Alligator mississippiensis: one gene and its partner. The protein of the gene in region 1 binds, or shares a complex with, the protein of each later gene. Links are inferred from orthologs where the notes say so. Each region holds a gene or a part of one and is shown in the gene's direction. Other genes may lie near its edges.

The links.
Region 2: the proteins of ATP7A (region 1) and ATOX1 are in contact, whole or in part, in an NMR structure (PDB 2K1R), measured with the Homo sapiens proteins. The link is inferred for Alligator mississippiensis from reciprocal best matches to the Homo sapiens genes ATP7A and ATOX1. Residues at the interface, in NP_000043.4 of Homo sapiens: Cys19, Asn20, Ser21, Cys22, Trp24, Thr25, Gln29, Asp67, Asp68, Met69, Gly70, Phe71, Asp72; in NP_004036.1 of Homo sapiens: Thr11, Cys12, Gly13, Gly14, Cys15, Ala18, Arg21, Val22, Lys25, Lys57, Thr58, Gly59, Lys60.

The regions. Positions count from the first base shown.
Region 1 is NC_081831.1:66,216,063-66,225,854, forward strand, and holds the start of ATP7A (copper-transporting ATPase 1), read left to right. Parts: upstream 1-4,993; 5' UTR 4,994-5,098; intron 5,099-7,966; 5' UTR 7,967-8,024; intron 8,025-9,433; 5' UTR 9,434-9,530; intron 9,531-9,792. Other genes in the region: cytochrome c oxidase subunit 7B, mitochondrial, read left to right, coding at 173-209, 2,026-2,150, 2,965-3,042. UniProt on the Homo sapiens protein: ATP-driven copper (Cu(+)) ion pump that plays an important role in intracellular copper ion homeostasis.
Region 2 is NC_081832.1:75,765,297-75,775,430, reverse strand, and holds the start of ATOX1 (copper transport protein ATOX1), read left to right. Parts: upstream 1-6,195; 5' UTR 6,196-6,289; coding exon 6,290-6,295; intron 6,296-7,554; coding exon 7,555-7,630; intron 7,631-10,134. UniProt on the Homo sapiens protein: Binds and deliver cytosolic copper to the copper ATPase proteins. May be important in cellular antioxidant defense.

The DNA.
Region 1 (9,792 bases):
GCCGCCCTCCGCTGCACAGCCGCGCGTTTCCCGAGCCCTGGCCCAACACTACATTTCCCAGGCTGCCCTGCTCCTCTGCGCATGCGTGGCGGGCGGCGACTTCCGGTTGGTCGCCATTTTGTTTTTCACCGTTAGCCAAGGGCGCTGCTGCGGGACCGGTTTTTTCGCCGCGATGTTGCCCTGGGCCGGCGCCGCGCTGGGCCGCACGGGTGAGCGGGGCCGGGAGGGGGACACTCCTGCCGCGGGGAGAGGGGCTGTGAGGCCTGGAGGACGCAGGGCTCGTGCTGAGGGCAGACCCGGGGGTACATGGTTGCAGCGCTCGTCCTGCCCGGTCTCGCAGCCCCAAGCCGGGCCTGGCATCGGGTCTCGGTATGCAGGTTGCTGCCCCTCTGGGCGCCGCCTCGTCTGTTGCTTTGAAAAGCAAAAACGATTAAAAACTGTTTAATATGGAGAGAGGCTGCCTGGGGTCGCCCAGATGCGAGCAGGGCTGCAGGAGGGCTCCCGCGGGGGTCGGTGGTGTAGGGACACAGACATGGTTCATGGGGAAGATGAGATGTCTTCTATTACACCGCCTGCATCGTTGGGGAAACTGTTCGTTGCAAGCTTTGGGGCACAGACTGAGAAGGCAAAACCCCAGCAGACTCTCCCCGTGCTTGAAGGAAGGGTGTTTGTGCCCCAAAGCTTGCAACGAACAGTTTTCACAACGATTTAGTTGGCCTAATAAAAGAGATCGCATCTTCCCAAAGAAACCTTGTCTGCCTCTTTCAGCATGACTGGCTTGTCTTCTGCTGGATGTGGCAGGATGACCGTTAGAAATAAATGTTAACGTCTGAAAGCCCTCGGATTTCACAGGTTCCGTAGACATTAGGGCTGGAAGGGACCTCCTAAAGTCATCGGGTCCGGCCCAGGAAGAGATTGACTGCGTCATTAGGGTGCATGCAGTGGCAGGTTTTTTTTCATACTTATTCAAACTGAATCTTATACCAATGTTTAACTTCATACGGTGTTTAGGTTGAAGTTACAGGTGTTCTTGGAATGTTTATTATGGTGGTTTTACTGTAAAATAATAATAATAATAATAAATCCAAACTGCTGAAATGTTCCTGGAAGAATATATAGTGCTGGTAACAGTTCAATAATCCATAGCTGCTTATTCTTGCCTACTTTCTACTTCCCTTGAAAGCAGGTTAGCATTGAGGTTGGCACTGAAAAGCCTGCATGCGTGTTTGGTATTTTTGTTTCCATTCTCCTTCCCCTTTTCTTGCTAGCTCAACCTCTCTTGTTCAGTGTGTGTACCTTGAAGCTAATTCGTGCTCCAGGATATCTCACTGGAGCCACAGATAGAGAATGTTTTGTTTTGTTTTTTTACTGAAACAGCATAGAATTAACATTAAATTGAAATAAAACTTGTCACAGTGGCACTGAGTGGGCACATAAGGGGAGAGTGAACCCCCTTCCCCCCTGCCAAATTAGTCCTTTCACTAAAAGCAGGACTTCCTATTGTTATTGCCCCAAGAGCTTTTTACCCAGCACAACTGCTGATATGGTCTCTTCCAAAGCCATTTGTTTGGACCTCACGTTTACATCTGTATCTACAAAAGAAAACAACAAATCCTGCAGTCCCCAGCCCCTCTTCTTGTATCTAATTCAGCATTATCTGCCCCACAGTACTAGTACTCTAGTTACTTCTAGTAAAGTTTAAATTAAAGGTAGACTTCCTTGGAGTTCATGACTGATCAGTGATCATTCACAGTTATGTGTTTTAGTAACTGAAGAAATAGTGCAGCATTGGAGAGTGTAAAAGGAGATAGCAAATGTTCATTTGCGTGGAGGATTCTTGAATTGTACTTCTTATTGAGATTTTTAAAACTATTCACCAACAAAATGAATTAAACTGATTTATTTGAATAGAAAGCATCCTTGTGTTTAGTATATCCATCTCTGAATGGGTGGAGCTTCCTGGAGAGCTGAGTATTTTAATCCATTTGTAGATCTCCCTTTGAACCTTACATTTATTTCTTTTAGCTCGGGACATTTGGAGGATTTCAGCAAGACAGGTTCATCAGAAACATGAACCTGACTTTCATGATAAATATGGAAACATGGTGCTAATTGGTGGAACTGTATTTTGCCTCGCTGTGTGGACATACGTAAGTATTGTGTAACTGGTACCACTGATGGGGGTCTGATGCAAATGTAGCCCTGATCTTGCAAACTGATAGTTACTTTAAGCATTTGTCTGTGTGGTACACAATGCAAAATCAGGGTTTCAGAGCTTCCTAAAAGAAAATGACTTATGAAATAATAGTAGAAATGGAAGAGATTTTTAAATTCAGGCTTAGACTTGACATTCAGAGTAACTGTCTATTGAACACCTATTTTATTGCCACTTAGAAATCTTGGTTAGGAGGGCAATGTAATTAAACATGAGCTAATAAGTGGTTTATTTTTATGTACTTTCATGTAAAAAGAAAAGATGTTAAATTCTCAAATTCCCTTATTTTGATTAAAGTAATGGGTAGCTATATTATAAGAGAGATGTATTATTCTAATGCTGTTGCATATGCTGAACTTAAATATATGGTTTGGGAAAGCAGCATGTGGTTTTAAGTTAGAGGACTATACATCTGGTTCTTGCACTGTATAATATTACAAGTATGAGGTGGATCTTAAGAGAATTACTACATGCTTGAAATACAAATTACTCTTCTAGTATAGATATATTAATGCTATTGCTATAATAAAGAGTGAATAAAATTGTTAGGTTTGATGTCTAAAAATGTACTACTAGAAAATAAAATGACTTCAGTGTACTCTCCAAGTTGTCTTCAAACAGCTATTTGAAATCTAACTTTAAGAAAAACAGAATTTGTGTCAACTGCTTTATGCAGCTAACTTAAAAATATGGGTTTTTCCTGACTTAAGGGTACATTAATTTCTTCTTGTAACTTTATCCTCTTCCAGGCGGCAACACAAATTGGAATAGAGTGGAATTTGTCACCAGTTGGCAGAGTCACTCCAAAGGAATGGAGAGAAGACTAGCTTTTGATTTACAGTGATTAAAACCCTGAACTGGTGTGGATTTTCCATTAAAACATGCTTATGTCATATGTGTAATTGCATCCGTTTACTGATTGCCATGTACCTCATGGCATTACTGGTATAATAAATGCATTAAACTCCTGTTTCATCTAGTTTGTTCCTGTCCCATATTTTATAGTAAGAAATGTTAAGCATTTTGGTTAAAAAAAAATAGTTTTTTTTAAGGGTTTATTTCAATGAGGTCCATAAAGAAAACATGCATAAATAAGTGTTCTAAAACATGTTTTTCTTGGATCCTGTTAAAAATAGACATTTATGGACCCAATGCAGGGAGATCTGCCTTAGTATTGGGCCCACTCCGTAATTGAAATTGGAGCATTGGACTTTACCATGTAAAATGCAGTGCATACTAGTTGTACTTTTCTCTCGTTCATGAAGTGGGGTGGTTTCTCTATTTCCTATCAGTAGTTTCTAAGCTGGGGTTGTTACTCCAACAGCAGTTCTCTTCGAAGAGTTGGACTTGCACTAAAAGTAGGCTTGCATAATTGAAAAGATTAGGAAGTGCTTTTTTATGCCATTTTACTTGCACAGCAGTCTTGAAGGCTTCAAGGGACATTGGTCACTTAGTTATTGGAGCTAGGAATATAGGTACCCTATTTCAGTCTTCTGCTTAGAGGGGCTTGGTTATAGAATCCTAATCTGCTAGTCCCACTTTCTGTGCCTCCTCCTGATGATGACTTTCAGTGTTTATCCAGTAAAATATACTGATGTTAATTCTGCAGTTAGTAAATGTCTCTTTAGTAACTAGCATAACAAATAAGTCAAGCAGTTCTCTTTGACAAAAGATGTGCTGTGTTATGGAGCATTATTTGAAAACAGACCACTTCCTCTGTCTCCAGAGTTGTAAAAATGCAAAAGCATCCTGCAGAACAGTGGTAGTAACTAACTCTACAAGAGACAGGACTTTGGCTTGCTGTCTTTCAGTACTTAAGACTGTAGGGCCTCTAGGCTCCATAGTAATGCCTTTTGATGTGCTGAATCTTACTCTACACCAGCCTCTAGAATAAACGGTTGCTATTTTGTATCACCTATGCCTTTAAAAGCTCGTGATGACTGGATAATCTAATTTAGTTTTTGTCCAAGTACATTGAACCACATGTGACATCCTGCTGCACAAAGGCACGTCCTTGTGTAATCTAGCTGCAGACGGGATTGCACAAGCTGACTGCAGCAGGCTTTTTATTTTGCAGCTATGTACAGGTGGGTGACAAAGACCTCTACTGGGTATTCATTCCCCTCCTGCTGTCAAAATGATGTGGCTGAATTTACAAGCAAGTACATTTAAGTGATGCTGTAACCTGTATCCCCCAAAACATTTTGTACAGCAAAGGTCTGAGACTGCTCTAGAAGCCAGGGTTGTGCCAAATTATATGGAGTCCTTCTGGGAGGAGTGAGCAGAACCTCCTCCAGGCTGGAGGGAAGATCCGGCACTCACTGGGCGCAGCTTTGAGCCGGAGCAGCAGGCTGTAAAGTTAAAATGGCACCTGGATCCGACACACTGTAACACGCCGGGCTGCTCCCGAACCAGGCTCGTCAGCGACAAGGGCTTCATCAGGCACCTGACCAGATTGCTGATGCACGCGCCGTGCACCACCAGGTGTTTGCCTGCTCCGGCCGCGCTCGCATCTTCTTCGTCCCTCGGGTCCCGGCGCAAAGAAAAGATCCTGCCACCTCCCACCCTCCCGTCTGTGCCCAGCTCCGCTTCCTCTGGCCGGCAGGGAAATACTTCGGGGGCCACAAGCGCCCCGCCCCGCCCCGCCCCCGAGGCCCGCGATTCTGTGCGGGCTGAAAAACGCGAGGATCATGTGAACACCTGCCCGTCACGTGGGTCCGAGTCACGTGACGCGGGGCGGGCGGGTCCCGACGGGGGTCACGTGGCTGTGGCCCGGCGGCGTAGCAACGAGGGCGGGGCCTGGGCCGTCCCGGGCCGGGTTATGAGGAGGCGCCGGCGGCAGCCCCCGGCGCGCGGCGGTGGCAGCGGTAGCAGCAGCGGGTGGTGAGTGCGGGTGCGCCCTGGGGCGGGGGGCACGCAGGGCTCGGTTGTGTGGGCCCCGCGCTCAGCCCCTGCAGCCGGGGGGGGGTCTGCCAGAGCCAGGGGGAAGCATGAGGAAGCGGGAGGCCGAGCGGGGTGGCGGGGATGCTGGGTGCTGGTTGCGCTGAGCGTGGACGGGGGTGGTAATATTAGCAGTGGGCCTGCGCTGGGACATGGTGGCAGCAGGATGAGCTGGGCTCTGTTAGTTCCTCTTGCAGCAGCTGGTGCCAGGGAGCGTCCTTCGCCCTGGGGGAAGAGCAACTTCAGGGGAAAACATGGGTGATGTTGAGATGCCTGGAAATGCCGTCGGCTTGGCAGGGGCCCCAGACCTGAACGTCCCTTTAGCGCTCGCGTCTGGTAGCTGGATGCCACAGTGACTGGGCGCTTCTCGCACGGACAGATGCGCCGAGCGATTACGGGGAAACTTGCTTAACAGGAATAGTCCCAGTATAAACTCCGCTTCCCCAGGACGCCTCTGATAAGTGGTAGTTGGTGCCGAGCCAGGCGATGCTGCCCAGAAGACAGCTTAAATCTTGTATATCTCTCTTGATTTCAAAGCTTGTTATGTAGGAGATTGCTAATACTATCCTCGTTTTAAAGGGGGAGAAATCAGACATAAGTAGGGTTGCCAGTCCTCCAGGATTTCCCTGGCATCTCCAGAAATTGGATATAAATCTCCAGGAGATTGCTGAGAGTCACCCAGAAGATAAATGATAGGGTATTCGTTAAAATAAACATTAAATATTGGATCCGATTTATACAGTAGTCCAGCGGGTTTTTAAAACGTAATAGTTGTGTGCACTTGCTTTCCTGATGTCAAGTAACTTATGTCATTATGTCAAGTAATGAAGCCTCCCAGAATAGATTCAAACAGAGGTGGCATCCCTAGACATAGGCTGGGTTCTTTATTTTTACTTTGCACTTGTGCATTTTGCTTCAAGCAGAAACCCAGAGAACTGTTCTGATATAAGATTTGCTGACAGACACAAGGATCAGTTCCTTCTTGAAATATAATACTATACATTGATTTATTCATAGATCAACAGATGAAGAGCTTGCATTTGCTATCGACCCCTTATTATTAACTAAACACAAAAAAAAATCTTGTCAAAGAAAGGATTTGAATGCAACATGACACTAAGTCATTTTGTTCAATGACTCGTCCTCTGAATGAGGACAGTCACTTCATTGGAACAGCAAGGTTCCCACTGGAACATCCTAGTACTCAGCTGTAGCATGGCTATGTTGTGTGCACAGTTAAGATCTCAGCGTTTCCACAATAAACATTTCTTACAAGTTTCCTGAGCAGGGACATAATTTTATGACCTTTAGAGCCAGACATGATGGCAAAAGAGAAACAGAATATGATCTTCTACTTGTATCCCTTTTGTTATCTGTGGAGGGGGGATAATTGGATAGTCTGACTTCTGCCCAGTTCAAGCAGATAGCTTTTCTTAAACTTAATGGGCCCATATCTCTAGCCAGATGAAGGCACAATGTATGTGTGTGAATGCTTCAACTCCTGTCCTTCTTTGTTTGCCAGTGATCCTCATTTCTGAACTGCAACAGGTGATGATGCCCATCTCAATATAACAGGTGCCTTTGTCCTACATCAATCTAATGATAGTAGTGAAAGCCAGGATGAGACCTCCCCCCTCCCCAAATTCACTTAATCAAATTCTAATATCAGCCCTCTAGTATAGAAAGAGTACTGACATACTGAGTGGTAGGAAATATCTGCCAGATAATCAGTCTGTTATACAAAATACAAAAGGATTAACCTCAGTCACATGGACCATCTTCTTTCTTCTTGTCTGAGTGGCATCTCTAAGAGGGATATTTTTCCAATGAACTGAAGTCAAAGGAAATTGAAACTATTTAATACTTGACAGCTATGGCACCAAAATGGACTAATCACATGTTTTTTCTCGAGTCTCTCCAGCAGAGTGGCTTAATTTGCAAAAGAGTCTTGCAATCCAAGCTCTGCATTTTTTTTTTTTAGTATTAGCACCATATTATAAAAGCCACATACCACATCTTTTACTTTCATTTATACCCCCAATTTAGGATATTTAGGTAACTTGTTAACAAAAAAAATCAGTGAATAAATATCCATTAGACTCCATATACACATCTATACACATGTATTTATTGATTTTTTTTTAATTATTATTATTACTATATAGAGGTATTAGAGACCACCAGGTTGAATTTGGGCCAGGTTTGTTATTGCAAAATAAAAATTACCAAACCCAAGAGCAACTGAAATATTTCTATGAAGTTGAAAATAGAAATCAAATGGAAATATATTTTCTAATATTTCCAAGCATATGTTATATCACTCGGCTGATGTGGAACTTAACCAACAAAAAGGTTCAGTATCAAACTGGGTGAAAAACAGGAAGTAACAAAATAAAATGTGAATAGTGATTGTACCATTCAATTAGTGAATGGTATGCAATTCATCAATACTGTCTAATTGTAGTACGTTTAATAACCATTACAAAGGATTTTAATCTCATAGGTCAGCTAGTAGTGGCACATGGCAAAGGCACAGATACTTTGCATAAAGGTCAGGCAAGCATTTGCATACTCTTACTATGTACAGGATAGTAAATGGGCTATTTATTACATTTTCTAGAGCTGTAATACCCTAAGACATCCCTCCTTAGACTGTAATACTTGTCCTCTATCTGTGCTCTGGGAAATTGCATACAATTCTCATTAGCCAGAATGGTCATAGCTCACATAGATCTTTCATGCAGTCACTGGAGAATAGACCTCTGCATTTAAACCCAATTGCATCATTTTTTTTTCTTTATTAATTGGCAGATGCTACCTCCTCTGAAAATTTGGGAAGTTCCAGAAGACTGACGCCCAGTTTAATTTTGTAAGGATATATTCTAATCAGGGTGGGGGGGAATGTATATTTTGCATTAAAGTGTGTGTGTGTGTGTATTTGCACTGTTTCTGATATGATGCAAAATAACTCACGTGGTTGACAGAACTTGGATATATTTAATGGAAACTGTCTGTTGTTTGGATTTTTATCAGGGTAGTATTGATGAAAGTGTGTATGACAATTGTTTTGGACAAATTTGTTTAATGAAGTTGGATAAGAAATAACTTTTATATTTGTGCAAAGGTGCTATTAATATTAGTAAGACTAGTTGAGACCCTATGGTCTGGATGTGATCAGGGAATGATAATTAGTTGCATATAGAAGAGAGAGAGCGCACTTTTCTGCAAGTGTTGAACAGATCAAAGGAAAGCTAATGTAACTTGTAACTTACTATTCTTGCTGCTCTTGTGTTTTTTTTTTTTTATTGATGCCTACATAAGACACGGCACATTGTTCTTGTTAGTATTCTAAAGCTAATCTAAAAAATAAGGGGTTCTTTATATACTTAGTGTTTGAAATGCCATCTATTTTTAATGTTACGGATATGCTTAATAGTACAGATACGACAGTCATATTCTCCAAAAATCTCCAGCTGCCATTGTGTGTGGTATTTGCTGAGAGGATGGAGGGATTTGCTATGAATTTTCTTCTGGTCTTATTAAAGTCTTGTTTGGACTAAAGTAAAATATTTTCCATCCATCCTTTCTAGCACCCATCTCAAAAAAAAAAAAAAAAAGAACTAAACTCCTGAAAGATACTTCCTACATCCATCTGGTGTGGGCAAGTCTTGGTAAAGTTTTAAGCAATACAAAATAGACTCATTTGAGGGTCTCAAATCCATCTTAAATGTGCTCAGGGTACAGTGGTTTCCCCCCCCCCCCCAAGGGTTAAGCCTAGTTATGCTTCCGTATACAAGAGAAATGCATGTAATCATTTGTTACTGAAGATGACAAAGTTCCATGAAATTACTCTTACTGGCAAGAGTTTGGTATAATTTTTTTCCTTAAGTCACCTTGCTTCTTTAGCTTTTTGCTATTGAAAATAATAGATTAAAACATGATCAGCACCCTGGTCCTAGCAAGACATGTACTTTTCACCAGCCTGGTAAGATGGCTTGTATGCATATTTTTCTATTCAACACTGCCCATTTTTTCTCTGTGATATTATTCCTAATGCATCTTTGGTTTTGCTAGAATATAAATAATAAATATGTAGCAGGAATTGCTAAGCTAGACATTCAGATTTGGAACAGGTAATGATCTAGTTTAGCAGTTAGGATAAGGATCTAAGAGTTAAATCTTATGGAGTCTGTTTCCAAGCACATGTGACCAGATGAGTCTGACAGCCTTTTATTAGCTTCATTAGCTGTAAACTGAAAATATTTACCTTCTTGACAGGCATACAGAATAAGACAGTGGCTCCAGAGACATGGCATCAAGGCTTGCTCTGGCCTTGCATGCCCTACTGTAATTGGGATCCTGGTCTTTCAGGCTGGTGAGTCGGTCACTAGGCATGATGTTGTGCTATTGGCTACAGAAACTGGTGTGCTTCCCACATAGCTTGGACAAACTTGGCTTTTTCATTTTAAAGTGAGGAAGCAATTAATGTCTCTACAGCACGTTAAAAAATGTATCCTTTTTGGTCCTGAGACTAGAAAAGCTATTAAGGGACCTGAGTTTAGGTGGGGCACACTATTGAATATGAGATCTGAGCTGTGATGTAGCCTTCATTTTACAAAACTAATATTGTTTTTTAA
Region 2 (10,134 bases), on another chromosome or scaffold:
ATATTTAATTCCACAGGTTTGAAATGTATAAATTAAATGAGGAAAAAAAAAAAAAATGACTTCAACATTCACGTTTGAAAAAAAGGAGCAAAAAAAAAAAAAAAAAATGCAGCTGAGCAACCAGAGCTCAGTTCCTTTGGGGGAAAAAAAGGTATCTACCATGCATGCTTACGTCCTGCGCGGTATTTTGGAAGTGGTTTACGAAGTCTAAATTTGTGGGAGATGGAGCAAGACCCCCCGATACGTGCACGTGCAGATAGTTCGGTAACCACTCAAAAGAAAAGCTTAAAAGACATCAGATCCTGCCTAATTCCCCCCCCCCCCCGCAGACATCCTATTGCCCATCTTCGTCCCCGCCTAGGGCAGGGGGCCGGACCCCACCATCTCGCGAGGGCCCTTCCAGCCCCCCGCAGCCACGGCTGTTTTGCCACGAACTTTTGTAAGGCAGCACGCTTGCGAGACGTCACGAAGGAGAATTGCCACCGTGCTGGGTGGTGGGACACAACAAACAAACAAAAAAACCAACCCAGGGAGGTTTCGAACCAGCGATCCCAGCGAGTCTGGTTCAACCCGCTCCTGCCCGAAATCCGTTTGTAGGGAAGGTTTTTTTGGGGGGAAAAAATATATATATATATATATGTATATAGATTAATTATATGGATAGCTGCACAGAGAGGTTGTCGCTATAGGTACGTGGGTGTGCAGGCAGGTGGGTGGGTAGTTAGACGGGGGGAGGTAGGTAGGTGTGCCGGTCGGTAAGTAGGCGGGTGTCCTCGTGCGGAGCCGGGCCCGGCTCTTCCCCGCCCAAGGCCCCTCGTGCGCGGCCGCCGCCGCCATCTCTTTCATTCTTGGGGCGGGAAGAGGCGGACGTGGGAGCGGGACTCGCGCCCCTCCCCCCCCCGCTCCCTCCCTCCCCACGCGCGAGGACAAAGCTGGGCCGCGACCCCTCCCCCCGCCCGCCCCACCCCCGCGCGTGAGGGGAACGCGCCCCTCCCCCCCCTCCCGGGGCACCAACCGCCGGCGGCAGCAGGGCCGGGCGGCGGCGCTGACCTGCGAGCGGAGCGGGGCCGGCAGCGGGAGGCGTCGCTTCAGCACCGGGCGACGAGAAGCACCTCACGCAACGGCGTGCTCCGGCACCGGCTGCTCCCTATATAGCCGCGGCGCAGCCTAGCCCCACGGCGGCGCCCACAGCCAATGGGAGGTCGGCGACTTGGCCCACTCGGAAGCTGGTTGGCTGGCGAGTGGGCAAAGAGGCGGGAAGGGGGTTGAGCGGCAGGCGAGCCGCCCTACGGAGCGGCGGCGCTGTTGGAGCGGCCGGGCGCGCGGAGCAGCCAGTAGGAAGCCAGAGGGAAGCCGTGGAGGTGGGATAAGGCTGGATGGATTGGCCGCCCGGCCAATAGGGCGACGCTCCCATCGCCATTAAGGCGCAAGGGTCAGTCAGGACGGGTTGCCGAGTGCGGTTGAGCCGTAGCGATCAGCCCGTGGGCCTTCTGAGGGAGACCCCGTGTGGAGGCAGGGGCGGCAACCCTGGCGCGGCTCAGCCAATGAGCGCGCGCGCCTGCCCGTGATCGATAGGCCGCGGGCTGCGGCGTCTTAAAGGGGCCGCGGCTCTGCCTGCTCAGAGCGCCCCCTACTGGAGGGGAGGCTGCACGGCTGCGCGCTGTCCCAGCCCCACGCGCGACCCGCAGCACACTTACCCCACGCGTGATTTTCCCCGCCCCATTAATTTTTCCCCATGCTGGTTTTCCCAACCCGGGATTTCCCCCCACCCACCCACTCACTCATGAATTCCCCCTAATGCGTACAAGACCCAGCCCCATCTCCCTGCAGGGCTGCTGCAGGCCCCCCACGCCCGGCCCAACACGCACCTTCCAGCCTGCAGAGCCTCGGCGGGCACCCACGGCCCCTCCGCGACCACCCCCATGGCCCAGCACGTGGCTGCCATCACTTCTCCGCTACAAAGCGGCAACCAAACAGATGCAAAGCCAAGTTCCCCCCGCCTAAAAACGTCCCCAGTCCAGGGTGGAGCGCTGCACCCCGGCCCCAGGAGCAGCACGACGCGGGGTCTCACCTCTCTGGCCATGGGGATCGCAGAGCTTCCCCGGGCACCTTCCGCCGGTGGCATCCACCTGCTCCTAGGAGCTCCTCCAAAAAGGCCAAGTCTTCCTTCCCCGTCCACGCGCATTACCCCGTCCCCACCCAGGCACCCTCCAGAGAGGGGGTCATATCAGACCCCATAGCAAGGCCTCGTCCCGAGCCAACACACGGGTAGAAACCGTCGTGCAAACCAGCGGTCATCGCTGGACCGCCGGCGGCAAGCAGAGATGCTACTCCCCAAGCAGCTTTTAGCCTAGGAGCGTTGCTGGACTAATTAGCTCGAAGCAGTGGTAATTACCCAGGGCGTTGCCACATGCTACCCAGGTTTGGGACAGCAGGAATCAAAGGCCACGGGAGGACAAGTCATGGAAACCGCCTCCCCCATGCTCTCAGGCAGGGATTCACAAGGATGGGGCTGGCCTTATGCCATCCGTGGCATGAATACCCTCCCTTTCTGCACCCCCCCCCCCCTTGCTATTTATATACTGAGCTGCATTGCGAGCCGCCAGCTCATAAATCAGAGGCACAGGCCCCTGCTGAGTTTAATAGGAGGCAAGTGACCGCACAGGACAGCCACGTAACAGAGCCCCCCTCTCTCCGCCGTGCAGGGGGACCTCGGTCACCCGTCAGAGCGCAGAGATCCCTGCTCCCAAGTCACCTCTCCCTTGCAAAAGAGCCGGATCAGTGCCTCCTATTAGAGCAGTGACCAGAGGCTGCGGCAAAACAGCATCCAGCCTGACCCCTGTGTTAAGGAGACTTGGTGTTGTCTTCCAGGTGGGATGCGCTGCTGATGCCCCCAGGGAGAAAGCAAGTTTGGGAGGGGGCACCTATTAGAAATGGGTATTTTTCCAGGTTTGTGGAACAGCTTTGCTTGCTGTAGGCAGCAGAGCGTGAGATATCTGGTGATTTTTCCACCTGAGATACGGGAGAAAGGGAAGTTTGAGCCAGGCATGAAGTAGACAGCTGCTGCCTGTGACTTCCCCCTCCGTGCAGCCCTGCCGACATATTTCCACCCTGACCTACTGCACTCCTTTGATCCCTGCTCCAGGCCCCCCGCACCGCTCTGCCGACGCTCCTCACTCCAGTCCTGCAGTGACCCCGCTCTTCCCAGCCTCGGCTCCATCCTTCCTGGGATCTCTGCACCCCCACGGGAAACACCTCTCTCCCCCGCACACCTGGGACCCAGCTCCCACACGCTCTTCCCCTGCTCCGCTTCTCCAGGGGGATAAGCAAACACAGGGGCCAAAAGCAGACTGCTTCTCCCCACCAAGCAGAGACCGCAAGGGAGTCCCTACAAAGACTGGGACACGGACCCTTCACATGGGGCATCGACAAGACTGTCACCCCACACAACACCCCTATAATCTCTTAAATCTCATGAGCCGAAGCAACCAAACAAAGCCCAGCCAATGCCTCCCAGCTAGCCTAACGCAACCAGCTCCAGCCTTATCTTCACAGCCATTTCCCTTTCCCACTCCCCCATCAACCTTTGTATCCCACACTGATATTAGCCCTTTAATCATGCTATGCAGGGCAGCCTGTGCTAAACTGAATCCCTCACAGCTGCCAAGGATCCACATCAAACCAGCTGCAAAGTTTCTGAATCACCAGCCTTTCAAACCTCTTTGGCTCACATGGCTGCCTTGACCCTCCCCAATTCACCCCCCAACACTCAAATGAGACTTTATTTTCCCCAGCAGACTTTAGCTAGGAAAAATTCAACCCCCCCCCCAAACCCAATCAAATTCCTAGTAATTATTAGGCACACTTGACATCAGCTTTAATCCATTTCCTAATTAAGAGTGGAAATCTTTTGTTATTTCTTTAAAAGAAAAAAAAATCCCTTACCTTTCTTCCAAAATTTTACCAGCTCTGGCTCATTACCCCCATGGGGAAGGGAGGAAAAATATGTAAGTGGGTGAGGCCCTGCAGCGCTATCAGGTTATCCGAGGTAAGTTCCTCCAGCCAAGATGAAACCTAAGAACCACACGCCACCCCCCACAACCTGCTAATGAAATATCTTCCATCCCAGGGAGCGGGCTCACTTATAGTGTAGATTAGACTTGCTTTCAGCAGGGTGAAATAAAGGGCAGTTTGGTCTAAATCCTGCCTCGTCGGATGTGGCTCATGAACCTAGGATGGTTCTTGCCACCCGCGTGACTGCAAAAAACACTAGTTGTATTGCTTCTTGCTGCACGGTGGGCATGTCTTTCCCGGAAGCACCAGTAACGCAACACCCCCGCACCCACTAGCAACGTTAACTACTGCACGGTTGGCTTTTCCTCCTCTTTCGAACCAGAGAGTGCAGCGATTCCCTCTGAGGGCGTGCGCTGCTGTGGTTCTGAGCAGCGAGCGCTCTCGCGTGCAACCCCCGTGCTGTCCTGACACTTGCTGCGGTCTTTCCCCTCGGTTTGCCCTACTTCTGTGGGGGCTTTCCTACTTTTCCTGAAACCCCGTGTTCCTGGGAGCTGCAGTATTGCCACCTCCCCAGTGTCAAAAAGCAAGAGACAGACTCTTAAAAATCAAGAGATTTGGAATGTAAATCATGAGATGCTGGTTTTGAAGTGTGTGTGTGTGTGTGTATGTGGGGGAGGTGTTATTTGTGAAGGTTTGGGTGGGGTTTGGAGCCAACGGGGGGGGGGGGGGTGTCCCTGTACACCTTGGCAGGATGTGGGGTGCTGTAGGGCAGGAGTGAAAGCAGCAGCGGGGCTGTGGCTTGGGAGTGAGGGACACACACACACATACACACATGGCTCTGTTGCATGGGGAGGCTGTGGTTTTGGGAGCAAGGGTCCTTGATCTGCCCCCCTTTCTTTCCCCCCCATAGACTTACCAGCTTGGCGCTCTCTACTCGGACCAGAAGAAAACAAACCCCTGAGATTTTTTCTCTCTAATCAGGAGATCGTGAGTCACAGTTAATATGACTTGGAAAACAGGAGTCTTGAGATTTTTTTCATGAGAGTTGGCATTACGGGAGCTACGACCCGGGGGGACAGGCACCGAGGAATCGCCGCCGTCAGAACGGCCTAGAGGGACAGTTGCGTGGGCAGGGGACACATACTGCGCAGGTCCGGGGTACGGGACAGCCCGGTTCCTCAACCATTGCACTTACACCCATTCCACTTCACCAGGCCAGTTCGGAGCCGTCCAAAGGGGGATGCACTTTTTATGTAATGAAGGTGGCTGAGCCTGGCCTGGCGGGAGAGAGGGGCAGAGATGCACCACATGTAGAGGAAGGCTGCAGAAGGGAACTCCTCCCTGATTCACCCCCCTCCCAACACACGCACCCACCACAGCTCCATTTCGGGAGGAAGGGATGCTTCTCTGTGGACCCAGCCTGTGCTTTTGCCCAGGCTATTGGCATTGTGGGCTGCCACATGGGTCTGGGAAGGAATTGGTTTCCTTTCTGCTGCTATTCAGAGGTGGGGATTGCGACTGAGCTGTGCCAATGCTCCCGCTGGCACTCAAACCCGCAGGCTCCCGGCTACAGGGTCCTGTCCCTGCACTCAGGATGTTGTTTTGAGTTTTCTTTTAAACTTCCTCTATGCTCTTCATCTCCGCTGTAGCACATTGCTTTTAGTTTCTTCTGCAGCGGGATAATATAGCAGTCCCCCCCGGAGCCCATCACTAAAGTTTCTAGCTACTCTTTCCCTGGAGAAAAACAGGGTTGCCCTCTCTGCCATGCCATCTGCACCCATTTGTCCAAATCCTAGGTCTGCCCATGGGGTGAATCTTAGTAAAGGAGGGTGGGAAGGGACCTCAAGAGTCCCCCCCCCCTTCCCTAGTCCAGGCAGGACCAGCCCCAACTCCATCGTCCCAGCCAAGGTGGGTCTTCAACACCTCCAAGCACGCAGACTCCAGCGCTTCACCGCCCTCCTGATGTCCAACCTGCTGCAAGATGAGCCCATTGCTCCTTCTGGCGCCTGCCCCCACTGAGCCCAGCCCAGCCCAGCTCCGTGCTCTTTGCAGCCCCCCCGGTCTCCTTGGCGCACTGGTTTGGCTGGAGCGGGCGCAGCGCGCTGCATGCAGCAGCCCGAATCCGAATCCGCTCCGGCGTCCCCGCGGCTGCAGCCGGGCAGGAGGCGGAGTGGAGGCGGAGCGGGCTGAGCTCTGCCCCGGCCCCGGCTCCGCCCCGGCGGCCTGCGTGAGCCCGGATCCTGCTGCCGCTGCATCGCGGAGCCGCGCCGCAGCCATGCCGGTGGGTGCCTGCGCCGGTCCCGATCCGGATCCGAATCCGGACCTGGGTGGGGTGCGCATCCCCCCCCCCGTCCACCAGCTGGGGGCTGGCAGTGCCCGGGACCCCCCCCCCCCCAGCTTGCCAGGATGGTGCCCACGGGTTGGGTGCAAGGACGGACCCCAGGGCGTGCAAGCATCCTTTTGGGAGCTGCCCCAGGGGCAAGTCTTAAGGAGGCAGAAGCAGCGGCTCGTCGTTAGCCCCGAGCGATGCCAAAGGTGCCCAGACCTCGCTTGAAGGATGCCCCACCATGGCTTGAAGGATGCTCGGCGCCCCGCCGCTCGCCGAGGGGTCTCCAGGCAGCGTCAGACCTGCCCAACTTCCCGCAGGGCTCAGCGGACCCCGGGCCACCGTGTCTCTCCTTGTCCTGCCTCCACGCGCTCGGCTCTGCTTCGAGGGCGAGACGCTTTCCCTCGAAACGGGCCGGGCGATGTCGTGGGAAAGTCGGTTATTATCCCCGATCGTGAGCAGACGGCCCGTGTGGGAGAGCGGAGAGCCGGCCGCTTTCCTTTTTAATAGTTGTGCTGTTACCGGCATCTCTACCAGGCAGCCGGGGTCCCGTTTAAGTGTGCCCAATCGGTCCGTGCAGTGCATGTATAGGGGCGGGATTATCGGTTACGTATACCGGCAGCCGCAGTCGTGGCTTGCAGCTCAGCTGCAAAACAGGGTCCCTTCCCAAAAACTCTTACCTAAAAGGAGGCAAGACGTGGTTGCAGACAGGAGCGTGCGAAAACACGATCATGTTAGGGCAGTGACGCTCAGCCACGGGGATGTGGCACCCGGGGTGCCTTGAGATCCTTTTCGGGGTGTTGTGGGGTTGCAGTTGGCCGTGCACACGATTGGCACGATAAACCCAGAGTTTTCCGGTAGGAATTCATGGTGCTAAAACCGTGCTGCCCTGCTGCGGTTTTGCTGAGGCCTTTGCAACAGAAGAACGGCTCTAGCAGTTTTGGGCAGTCAGAAAAGGAGTGAAAAGAAAAGCTGGTCTTTTCTAGCAAGCCTGATGAGGGGTGCCTCCAGCCTAAAAAGCTTGAGAACGGTGTGCAGAAACCTGGGTCGATGCTGAGAGTCCCCGTGTTGTGCCCCGCGGGGTTGCGGCAGGAGCCTGTTTTGCTCTCCTCTCTCCTCTCTGGAGAGGAGCAGCCTTGCGCTGTGAGCTGCAGTCCCAAGGCAAAACGGGCCTCATTGCCGTCTCCAACCTCTCCTCCTCCTCCTCGTTTCAGAAGCACGAGTTCTTCGTGGACATGACCTGCGAAGGCTGCTCCAACGCGGTCACTCGTGTCCTGAATAAGCTGGGAGGTGAGTGGCACTGCGCCAGGCCTGGGAGCCAGCGGCGGGTTGCAAAGCGTGGCAACGAACTTGCTGCTGATGATGATTTACATCCCAGCCTAGCAGCCAGGTGCAGAAGTACCAGGGGACGAGTGAGCCACGTGGAACGGGAGTCCTCGCGCCAAGCCTCTGCTTCCTCCCTTCTCCTTGGCAGAGGCTGGTGCAAGGTCCCTGCTCTCCTCCCTGGTGTGCACTCTCCATCGAATGGCACCCTGGACCAGGTTTGCCGGTGCAGAAGGAGGTTGAGGGTAGCCTCAACCTGTTACCTGGGCACATCCAGGAGGCCCCAGGGAGCCTGCTGGATCCTCTGCATAGAGAAACATGCCCAAGCACATCAGCATCTCCAGGTGTGAAGCAGAAGCCGTAGGAGGTGTTCACACAGAGAGGGAGAAGGAGAAGGGGATGGGAGCTGGTGCAGGGCAGTATTCAAAGCCTGCTTGCTGCACCCCTCCTGGGAGATCGAGCCCACCCCCAAAATACATCCCCTCGCCAGGCCTGAGGAATGGGGCAGCCCTGGGGTAACCCCTGCCCGGCTGCATCCCCCTTGGGCTCGGGAAGGAGTGCAGAAGTGGGTGCTGTGGGTGTAGCATCCCCCAGAGACTCACCTTGCCCCTCACTCTGCTGCCGTGGCAGGTGGTGAGCCAGTAACTAATTATTAATCTTGCAGCAGACTCCCGTGACCCTGAGAGCGGTGGGGGAGGAGGGCAAAACTGCCTCGCAACAACAGGAAATTCCAGTCCAGTTCCTCTTCTTGCAGTGCAGGGCAGCTATGGGCCTCGGGACTGGCTTGGGCTACAGACCTGGTCCCGAGGGCAGGAGGAAAAGCCGCTGATGCCCCAGTGCAAGCGCCAGCCCAGATTGCAGCCAGACCCAGCAAGGTCCCGAGAGGGGCAGGTTGACCTGTCCAGCCCGCTGATCAAAGAGGCTGCTTTCCTTCCTGCTCCCAGAAAGCAACCCCACCCCTTCGTCTTGGCTCAGGGGAGGGCCCTGCCAAGCCAGCGGCTTTTCTCAGCTGTTCTGCTTCGGTTCTTCATGCAAGCTGACCGGGCCTTTAGCTGGAGAGCTAGCCCGGCAAGGAGAGAGCTTGCAGCTCCTACGTGCAGGCTGGCTCCTCATCCTGTATGCAAGACCTGGGGTGGTTTGGTTGTGCAGAAGCCTTCTGCCGAGCTGTGTTTACCGTGAGAGCCGGGCTGCGGTCCCCGCAAACCAGGCAGCAGTCCGGTAGAAACGAGCCACATGAAACTGGTAATCAATGAGCAGAGGCAGCCCCGATGCCGTGGAGAGCATGTGCGGCGAATGCAAATGCAGCCCGGACACCTGGCTCTCGCCGGGCCTGGTTGCACATGCATGCTTCTCTCTGGCCGGCTGCGCTGGAGGCAGAGCAAGACAATACTCTGGTTCCTGCCAGCTGGGAGACAGTCCATCCCTCTGAGCCTCTCACTGATGTAGCAGCTTGCTGCACCAGAGAGTGAGGAAGGCCTTTGGAAGGAGCAGGAAGGAGCCTGGCTACTCATCTTTCTTGCCTGATGGGACTTATATGGGGCCCCAATAACACATGTCAGCTGGTATCCCCAGTTTCTGGGGATAGTGTTTTTAATTAAATGCATGCCCTGGCTGTTTTTGAGATCCCTGCTGCTACAGAAACCAAGTTCCTGTGTTCAGTCTCGAGCCCTTGTTCCCCTTGGCCAGCTGCTTTGAACTTCTAGTTGTTTCTAAGGATGTATCTGTGCACCAAAGGGACAAGGATGTCTAGTGGTGAGAGGGACGGAGCTGGGCTTTGCCATTTGACTTTGGGGGAAGGCCATATTTGCCTGTGTGCCTCAGTTTCCCCACCTGTAAAGGGTTTATTATTGCAGAATGCCCCCCCTCCCCACTAGCATTTCCCAAGTAGACTCGGGGAGGAGATGGAGGCTGAGGGGGTCAACCCTCCAGTGACAGATGCTAGAAAAGCCTGCCTGTGCCTGCTTCCTATAGGTAGGCGTTGTGGGGATTCAGGCAAGGGAAGAGACCGTGGGAGAGGAGAGGCAATAAAGAACTGCAATTGAGGGGAATTGCAATAGAGGGAGATTCAGAGAGACCTCAACATACTGGAGGATTGGGCCAAAAGAAATCTCCTGAGGTTGAATTAGGACACATGCAAAGTCCTGCACTTCGGACAAAGCAATCCCATGCACCGGTGCAGGCTGGGGGTGACGGGCTGGGCAGCAGCTCTGCAGAAAAGGACCTGGGGTGACAGGGGACAAGAAGATGGAGATGGGTCAGCAGTGTGCCCGTGTTGCCAAGAAGGGTAAGGGCATCCTGGGCTGCATCGGTAGGAGCATTGCCAGCAAATGGAGGGAAGTGATTCTTCCCCTCTATTCGGTACGGGTGAGGCCACGCCTGGAGTCCTGTGTCCAGTTTTGGGCCCCCCACTCCAGTTTTGTGCCTGCTCCACCTCCACCTCCTGCCTGGCTGCAGCCACTTGTAACGCCGGA